Linked DNA regions of Caenorhabditis elegans. The protein of the gene in region 1 purifies or fractionates together with the protein of each later gene. This does not show direct contact. Each region holds a gene or a part of one and is shown in the gene's direction. Other genes may lie near its edges.

The links.
Region 2: the proteins of F46G11.2 (region 1) and fbxc-51 fractionate together in Caenorhabditis elegans (co-fractionation; one large-scale study listed by BioGRID). This does not show direct contact.

Annotation. Positions count from the first base shown.
Region 1 is NC_003284.9:5,786,147-5,790,952, forward strand, and holds F46G11.2 (uncharacterized protein), read left to right. Parts: upstream 1-2,014; 5' UTR 2,015-2,016; coding exon 2,017-2,083; intron 2,084-2,138; coding exon 2,139-2,236; intron 2,237-2,826; coding exon 2,827-2,924; intron 2,925-2,979; coding exon 2,980-3,096; intron 3,097-3,151; coding exon 3,152-3,244; intron 3,245-3,289; coding exon 3,290-3,452; intron 3,453-3,507; coding exon 3,508-3,604; intron 3,605-3,652; coding exon 3,653-3,849; intron 3,850-3,890; coding exon 3,891-4,106; 3' UTR 4,107-4,199; downstream 4,200-4,806. Other genes in the region: gakh-1 (Protein kinase domain-containing protein), read left to right, coding at 1-4; F46G11.6 (ZP domain-containing protein), read left to right, coding at 382-550, 698-870, 926-1,066.
Region 2 is NC_003280.10:867,182-872,449, forward strand, and holds fbxc-51 (F-box C protein), read left to right. Parts: upstream 1-1,632; 5' UTR 1,633-1,649; coding exon 1,650-1,717; intron 1,718-2,070; coding exon 2,071-2,456; intron 2,457-2,624; coding exon 2,625-3,522; intron 3,523-4,243; coding exon 4,244-4,418; 3' UTR 4,419-4,518; downstream 4,519-5,268.

The DNA of each region.
Region 1 (4,806 bases):
ATAGATTAAAATAGTAAAGTAGTTCAAAAATTATAGTTATTTATCATATTTTCACTTTCTTTCCCGTCCTGTGAATGTTTTGTACGAATTTTGCCAATAATTGAAAGATGGAAATGTACTTATAACGAGTATCTTCTTCTCTTCAATACTCATTTTATAAATCTTTCAGAAAAAAATCCATCCTCATTCCTTCATTTTTTTGTTTCTCTGTAAATAAAATGTATCCTAAATTATGCTTACTTCTTAACTTGTACATCAAAAAATTCAAATGTTTTATCGTCTACGAAAAGTAATAAATCAAGAAGAACACATTGTTCCGAACGCAATGACCTACTTGTATCGGGGTATCTCCAGAATGGAATGAATCGATCCAGCATACAAATGTCCAACCAACTTCTCGTATTCATACTTTTTCTTAGCGTTCTAGCGCCCACGCTATCCATCTATAAGTCAAAACAAAAACCGAACTTGTTGTCGAAAACTGTTGATAATAGTATAACGTGCGACTTTTCGATTCACAAAAAGGGACCTTATGGACAAGTTGTTTCAGGTATGCTTTAGTTCTGGTGTTTGAAAAAAGTTTCAGAAAATAACAAATTTGAATTTAAAAAAAAAAGAAGTTTGTAAAAAACTACAAACATATACAATGTCTGTCAAACAGCCTCTGTTATTGTTTCAAAAAGTTCAAAAATTTCAGGAGCATCTCTTGACGACGAGATTTACTATAAAATAAAGTGTAAGCCAATAACTGGAAATTGCCTCCAAGTTGTAAATTGCACATTGAGCTCGGATGAGCCAGGTTTCCAGCCATACCCTATTATTGATGATATGGGATGTAGCCTTGAAGAGTCACTGTTCAAAAATGTTCAGGTATCAAGAATTTAGGAAATTTGGAGAACAATATCTACAAAATGTCTATTTTCAGTATCCAAACCACTTTGAGGCGGGAATCTTCAATCCCTTCCCAATTCGGTTCCGTGCGTCGTCTGCCGCCGTTGTCTTGTTCTGTGTAACAACTGTGGTTCCAATTGAACATGGGCAGTGTACTCGCAGAAAATGTCAATAGATGAAGTTTCATGTTCATTTACTTTTCACTTCTGTGATTTTATTTAACAACTTCGATTTTAAATCTATGGTTATCTGGTGTTTTGTCATTTAAAACATTTTAAAGTACACGTTTTCATTGAATGAATAACATGCATATCACAATCGGAATTGTTTTTTTTTTTCATTCTCTCTGTGTACTTTCAAGCCAGACAAACATTACGCACGTATTCAGAAAAAAAGTGAAAAAAAAACGGTTTATGCAAATGTATCAGAATACCATGCAAACCAGCTGTAGTATTAAAAATTTGTTATATATATTTTTTACTTTCACTCTCTATCTATTTTTTTCTGTTTTTTGTCGGCCTTGAACTTGAACTACCTTTTTCCAATCATGAAGCAATGAAGCGAGCGTGGATTTTTTTGTTTTCCGCTGTGATTTGCTGTTTCTATCATCTCTATCCATGAATTGCATCACCGGATTGGAGGCGAAGTGTCCTACTATAACCGGAGTAATTCGATCGATCGATCAACCCTGCGCAAGCGAAATTTAGAGAATCTCCCTATGCGCTTGTTGAATGGAGATATATTAGAAATATGGTTGGAACACGCGGATGCGCAGACGAGTCTCGCAATTGACCGGTTTTTAGGAAAACTTTTCCCCCGCTTACCTCCGGACGTTCATCCTTAATACTGTTATTTCTAGAAGCGTCAGGCGACCTTTTCAATAAGTTCACTAAACATGAGTATGTCGCAAGGCGCATCATTTAATCACTTGATCCAGTCTTGGATCGTAGTTGCTTCATGCTTCATGACCCACCAAAGTGAAAGACTATATCATTTTATTCACCGTTTCTTATCATTTTCGTCTCTTTCTCACTAAATCGGTCACCGTGATCTTATCCTTAACCTCGTTCTTTATCTTTTCAATTAGGTGTTCAATTTTTTGTGATCACAAAGCCGTTTTTCCAGATGAAATGTTACTTACTTTTTCTGTTATTGGTACCTGTAGTATTATCAGAGCGAAGCAAAAGGCAAAGTAAGTTTTATTTTTAGCGTCCTTGTAAACCTAAGCAATCTTTCACAATTTTCAGTTTCAATTGATGACATTATATCCGGCGCATTAAGTCTCGTGAGACCGATCTTTGACACTTCAAAACCTATTCAAAACGAAGGAATGCTTAGAAAACCAGTGAGTTAAACCAGTAAGCTTAAACCAGTAAGCTCAAAATCAGAGTCAATTCCAGAACTGATCGAATTAGGTGATATAAATTGAATCACCAATATTGCCTGTAAGCTTCTTTGCAAGCTTAAACGGTGAGGTAAAACAATCTGGGAATTCGATTTTTAAACCCAAAATAGCTAGAAACCTCCGAATTTTGTAATGAGACGTACTCAAAATTCCTCAGAATTACTGAAGGCGGTTATAAGTACTGAAAAAATGACTGTTTTAAAATCTCCAATTTTGCAAACTTGACAAAATCAGAGCCTAAATCAAAAAACAGGACGTAATTACAAAATTACGCAATAAAAACTTACATCCACAAATGGTCGCGCAAAATTTCTAGTAAATCGAGTAAAATTTGAGATTTTAGTGAAAATTTACATTTTATTCAAAATTTAGAACCGCCATACCGTTTTTGAAAAAAATTTCAGAACGTCTTATCACGAAATTCAGTAGTTTTGAGCATTCTGAACTTTCCAATGCTTCAAAAATTTTGAAAATGACATACGCGAGCACGCGTAAAAATTAGTTCCAAATAATACATTGAAATTTTAAAGGACGCTCCAACTCAAGATGATATGCGCGACTCATCAATTTTGGGATCACACTCGAGAACTGCGTTAGATGATGTACCACTTTGCAAGGGGAATAGCAAGTAAGTAATTCGAATGTTTTGGAACTTTCATTTTTTTTTATTTTGGGAATTTCAGTATTTGCCGATTCATTTCGTGTTCTGCTGAAAACTTCAAAAAAGATCCGACATTTGGCAATATACAACTTGCTGCTCAAATACTTGGAGATGCTAAGCTTAGAAAAACTATCAGCAGGTACGGTTGTGCAAACAAAAAAACAAATATAATAAAGTGTAAATCAAATTTCCAGTAACTCTGATGCAGTTCACGCTGTATGCAAAGAACAAGGCATGGATGATGCGCAGTGTAAATTATTTTCCAAGGGATTCCAATTGATTGATAAGTATGTTAGCTTTAACATTGAAACTTATAGAAAAAATAAGTTCAGGTTCATGACATCTATTGAAAAGCCAACAGATGCAAAAGGCGGTGCACCTCCATCCACAGAACCACCAGTGACATCGATCCCCGATTTTGATGAGCCTACTGATGATGAGCCTCAAAAACCAATGATGGACGATCCTGCACAATTACAAGACGATGATAATAGAGTATGGTTTTCTTTTTCTCATTTTAGAACAATGAGAATATTATTAACAATTTCAGAAGCGCTGGGCGGATTATGATACCCCATCTATTACCCCGGTGATTCCCGTGCAAACAGCACACGGATCCAAAACGTGGAGTAGCAACCCTGAGACAAGTATGTTTATTTCAAGTAAGCTTTTCATTATATTTAAAATATTTACAGAATCATTACAACCGCTGGAAATCAGAAATGATCTTGTCTCTAGCTGGACTCAAATGCCATTTTTCGCGCCTCCAACTATTCCACCAGCCCCGCCGCTTGCTTTCAAATCTGTGCCTTCACTAATTTTACAACCGATTCAAGCACCACAGTTGGAGAATGGAATATTCTTCTCGACAGATAAATTCAATTTCCTCAAGGTGAATAACAACTTGAATTTTTAAAATCTAAATTTTTTCAGGACTTCAATCCGATCAAGCGATTCAGACGATCTCCTGATTACTACGATCAGATCGACGAAAAGAAGAAACCTTCAAAAACTTCTGATTCATCTAAAAAATCGTCTGGCAATACTGATGATTACTATGGAAACTTTGATAGTGACATAGATGAGAAAGATGAAATTGAAACCACCGGTCTGAAACAGTGCGTCCATTTTCTGGGACTTGGTGTATAGATCTTATCCACATATGTACAGTTTTTCTATCATTTCTTATTTTTTAAAATTTCAGTTGTTTGATTGACGGGTGTAATAAATCAAGATTCTTTTGAAATGAAAAACTTACTGAACGCAAAATTGGAAAAAAGAAATACTCTGGTTAATGGTCCTGTTTGGAAAATGTGTGATTTGATTTGGACAATAGGGCAAATTTGCATATCGATGTTTTTTTCCAAATCTGTTAGTGGAAGAACTGACTAATTGACACATTGTGACTGTATGTATATAAAAATTTTGATACTTCTGGTTTTTAAGTTTGGTTATGAGCACGTAACTGTAAACAGTTTTCTCATTCGGCAATATTCTATTTTTGAAAGAAAAACATTTTTTAACACTTTAAATAAAATTTAATGGCTGAAACTTTCGTTGTAAATAAATGTTGACAATTGGTGAAATAGTTCAATTCGAAAAAGTTTTGAAACAGAAAACTTATTTTTTAAAAAATCTCTAATTGCCTTTGGGATCACAAATGAATAGAAATTATTGAATTGAATCAGAAAAAGAAACAATTGAATTTTCCGAGTTTGAAATACAATTTTTGCGAACATTTTAAGAAGTGCAATCTCTTGAAGGAAATAACTTATAATTAAAAAGCTCAATGATTTACAGTAAAACGGTTTTTGAAAGAGAACTTTATCAAGCTGTTCTTTTCAAAAAA
Region 2 (5,268 bases), on another chromosome or scaffold:
TTCTATCCGTGTATTCGGGCCTGCGGCCCTCAACCTGGATTATTGGGCTCAGAGTAGGCTTAAAGATTGTCCAATACTTCTATGTGTATTTGGGCCTGCAGCCCTCAATCCGAATTAACTGATCTTTTCAAATACAGACGTAGTCTCATAAAAGTCCTCCAGCCTGCTCTGCTGGAAGTAGGGATAGAAAAAGCCTAAAGTTTCTAAGAGTAAGCAGGCAGCCCTTATCCCTGATTTTTGGATTTGAGTGAAATGAAATAGCATTTGGCCTGTCCTGCTGAGGTTAAAAGTGGCCATAATGTTCAAAAAGTGCGGTCCTCAATATGATTGGAGCTATTGAAACAAATTGCTCAAAAAAAAACGCCAATCCTAAGCTAAGATATAAGTTCTCAAAGTGCAGTCACATTTCTCGGGACACCTCATGTCGAAAACGTGCCCTTATTTTTTATTTCTGTCAAGTGTGCAATTTACGGATTTAATATAGGAACACTTGAAAGCCCGGAAATGTCGGCTGCGGTTCTTGGTTGATTTTTTGTTAATACAAGCTTGAAAAATCTTGTGAGATGTCTTCTACTGTTTCGACATTTTGAAAGGAACCGGGAAAGTGTCGGCTGCAAACAAAGTTGATATTAAAGTCAGCATCCGACATCTCAATGGATGTGGCCAATTTTGAAATGGAAGCCTGTGCTAATGCACCATGATAAACCCGAATAAAAGGGCACTGAAGATCAATTTTCATTCTTTTTTTCGCATTTTTGGCGACCCAATATCTACCAATTTTCCAGCGTAAAGTTAATTTTCTGCCTGTTTTTTTTTTGCAAACACGGCAAATGTTGTAAACAACATATTAGTATCAAGGTCAGATTTGGTCCAAACCAGCATGATTCTTGCCCCCCTCTACCCTAAAATAGTTTGTCAAATAGAAGCCTCAATTGATTTTTCACATGAAAATTTTTCAAATACCAACTTAAAAATATCATAACTCAGCTGAAAGTTGAGCTAGCAAAAAGTTTTCCACCAACAAAATGTTTGAAAATTAATTTGAAATATTTTTGTAGTTGACAACTTTTCAATAGCTCAATTTTCAGCGGAGTTATGAGCTTTTGAACTAATTTTTCACAAAAAAAATCTATAGAATCTCTTTTATTCTAATTCTCCATTCACATCAAGTAGTCCGGGTACGTGTAGGCTCTCTATAGAGGACCGATGCTCAAGGTCAACAGAGATAAACATTCCCGCCCCGTCTGCGACAGATGGACAGAGGTCACCTAGTTATTTAGGGTAGTCTAATGGTCCCTATTGCCTCTCCAACGGGGGTATGTAATAGGGGGAAGACGGACAATTATTGGGTATTTTCCACAAGTTTTGAACTATTTTTTGGCTGTTTTGTCCGATTTCTGACAATTTTTGGACTATTTCTAGCTATTTTTCGACTATTTTTTTATATTTTCGTTGAAATTTTGCTATTTTTGGCTACACTCTGGCAATATTTTACTACTTTCGAATGCAGCTTTACTACTTTTTGGAAATTTGTTTACTAGATCATAGTCATTTTTTGTCAGTTTTTCACAATTTTCTCGTTTCTTTCAACGTTTTTCTCACTTTTCGCACCAATTTCCCACTTTTTTACAGGTAATAAATACCTACATATGAGCTTAACACCACTCCCATATGAGTGCCAGAAATGTGTACTACAGTTCTTTGAAGCTAATAGGAGGTATGCTTTTATTTTTTTTTGGAATTCTGATTGTAGAGCTGAAAAAAGTTTTTGAAAAGCTATTAAAGTTTAAAAAGAGTTTGGAATATATTTTAGTAGGTTACTTTTTCAGAGCAAAAGTTGATAAATTTACAGTCGATGCATCATGTTTTCCTCAACTTTAACAGCTCAAAATTCAATTTTCTTTGTGTAAAAATTTATTAAAACGGGCTTCGGTAGAAGTATAATAACTTAAGCAATTTTCTGTCGATGAACCATGTTTTGCTCAAATTTTGAGCCGTTCCTAGAAGTGGGGCAGCTACCAATATTATTTTTACTTTTAAACACCTATCAACCTACTTAAAATATTCCAGATTTAAATTAGTGGAACGATGTGACTCCCTAAAAGCAGCCGACAAAGCTGCTCCCCTCCACATCTACAAGCTCTACATGAATCCCCGTGTCATCCGAATCAACCGACATAGGTACACGTTAGGACTGCTCCGCCACCTACCGAAAGACCATGTCTACTATAGTCCATATATCAACAATGTGAACTTAGATGGAGGTGCTGCCTATGATATGGATCAGTATGGGCTTAAGGATCCCCGCTGCAATGAGGTTTTGAGCCCTGGAGATTTGAAAGTTGAAAGCAAGGAAAAAATTAATAATATGGAGGATATGACAATGGAGATGTTGCAATTTGCAATGCGGGATTTTATAAGACCACAGGGGCGGATGCAGGTGCAGCAGAGGGAAGGTAGGTGATAAGGAGTCCAGTGATATGTCGGCTGCTGTTTAAGAAAATTTAGAGCACTATCTCAGTTGACAAATTTGTGATAGCTTGATTTCTAGCTGAAATATGATAGCTTAAAGTGTTTCGGCGGCCAATTTTTGTTTCGGAAAATCTCAAAAATATATTTTTCAGACCCTGAAAGCTCTTCCGAAGATGATGAGGATGAAGCAGAAGATCTTCCAGCAGAAGGATCAGATGATGAAGACGATGACCCCCAGGAAGCTCAGATCCGGCGTATCCTCGGCGACGCTTACCTCCCAAGAGCACGCTATTCATCTTCAGAATCCGAAGCATCTGAATCCGAAGACGAGCCAGACATAGATCCAGCAGTCACCGACCAACTCGAAGCATACACGAATCCATACAGCTGGCGAGAGGAAAATGAACCAGCTCCATACAGATTTGGCATCAGATTCCAAAGGATGAACTTAGACTTCAGGCGGGACAGGGAGACTTTCCATGGGATCATTGAGTATCTGGATTATAACAAGAAAATGTATGATGCGATGAAGTATATCACAGAGAAGTTGTTCGGAAAAAGAGCTCACCCAATTGTGATAAAGACCCTGGAGCTTGGTGATGCAGGTGGGGTCTACCGACTCCCCGAGAATTTTAAAGTGAAAGTTTCCAATATGAGATTTGGTACGGAGTTCGGACTGCTTTGGGATGGTCTGAACAGTATTTTCCACGAGAGCACTCTGCCTTTCAAGAGCTTGCATATGCCTCTAGAGCACGACCACCCAGTTATCCATGCCACCCAGCGTCTGGTTATCGGAACTGAGAAAATGTTTGGGGAGAACTTTGCCTGGATCCCTTTCCTACTGAAGCTTCCACAGAAGAATGTCTACATGCTTCATAGTCCACTGTTCCATCATGACTATGTGCAGCTGATTGATAATTGGATCGAGACACCGAAGAGTATTGGGACCTGCTTTACGTTTGGTGTTAAGCAGTATCACGCCACCCAATCCACATTGAACTTGCTCGGGGATCATCCGATGGTTGTGAGCAAGAGGATGGAGGGAGTAGAGTAAGTTCGCAAAATTCAGGATGCATCGATGCACCAGCTGGAAATTTGGAGCTCCGATGCACCATGTTTTTAGGGAAAAGTCGACAAAAAATCTTCATTTAGTTTTTATTTGAACATTGCACTGATATGTAATACATCGAAATTTGAGTTTGAGGCTCTTTAAATAGATACAAACTACCTCACTTGTGCTTTTTCGAACTTTTCAAAAGCCCGTGAAGTGTCGGCCGCTGTAACTTTTCTCCTGGTAGAGCTAGTGGAAAGTTGTCAACTACAAGATTGTAGATGCTATTATTTGCAACGGTTTTGCAGTTGAGCAATTTTATGAAAGTAGTTGGGTTTTTGAGTTATGCTCTTTCGAAATTAGTTGTTTTTTTTTTGCAAAATTATCCAAAAACTAAAACTCAAATTTCTAACAACTTTTACAAAAACTTTCGTGTTGCAAATGCGTTGCAAAAATTCTGACTTACAATTTCAAATTTTTCTGTGGCAGAACCTGTTCTGCGGCGCGCAGGTTCGATTTTATGCAAAAATTTTTTTTTGAAGTTTAGCATTACACCTCAACTATGGAGGCTTATATCTTGATGGAAAATTGTTTACTGGCAAAATAATAAATATTACTTTCACTATAATTTTTTATTAAATATTCTAAAATTATCTAATGTACATACTAGTTTATAAACTTCCAAAGTTGGACTCTTCCCAAATTTTCCTTTTTTTCCAGCTGCACCGAATTCCCTCACTGCTTCAACATCCCGCTGACCTATGAATCCGAGCTTAATGTCTACGGTAAGAAGAGAACTGAAAACTTGGACCCTTTGGAGTTTATGCCACATGTCAGTTGGTGCCTGGTCTTCGAAGTGATGCCAATTGGAAGCGCTTTACCATTGGAGGACTGATTTTTCAATTTGCTAATTTTTTTTTTCAATTATGTCTTGTTGTCGTGTTTTTGATAATCTGAAATTTGTTGCGTGGATTTTAATAAAATGTTTTTTTGGTACTAAAAATGTTCCTAAATTTTTCTATATTTTGCTAGTTACCGGCTCAACGAAGGTGGTATATTTTAAAATCTGAATATCTGTAAATCTACAAAAGTTAGCAAAAGATTGTCAATTAACAAAATAATCTACGCAAATTGTTCTATAAGTTGTTAATTTACAAATTTTTTGTAGCTCAACTTTGAGCATAGTTATGATAGCTCTAAGTAGGGACAGGTTACCTGATTTTTATCAATTTTAAAACTTAAATATCTCCAAAAGCATCAAAGCTAATAAAAAATGTTGGGTATCTACGTGTACCTTACCCTTAACGTGGATATGAAGATCGTGTAACGTGAACTCATTATCTATGTATACTAACTTTCTATTTATTCCTTAGTTATGTAATAATAAACTACTCGTCTTCGCCTCCTTGTTCGGCCTCGAATATATAACATTGGCGATCAGGATCTTTCGGGCTCACTGCACCACTGACTTCATGCACATGTCTACTTAGAAGAAAAGACCTCTGAGGTATTGTTTTGATCTACACATGTCTACTGGGAAGAAAAGACCTCTGAGGTGGATCAGGTCAGCTTTGGGAAGAGGCACCTGCCGTGCTCTCTGCAGTTGCAGTCAAGGTGGACAGGAGCGGCTTCTGGTTTGAAGTCGAAAAGAAGAAGGAATCATTGCTCAACTCTTTTGAAGATGCGAGTGAAGGCCACCTATGCGTTTCAAATGCTCAGTCATTGGACGATTGCACAAATTGTTA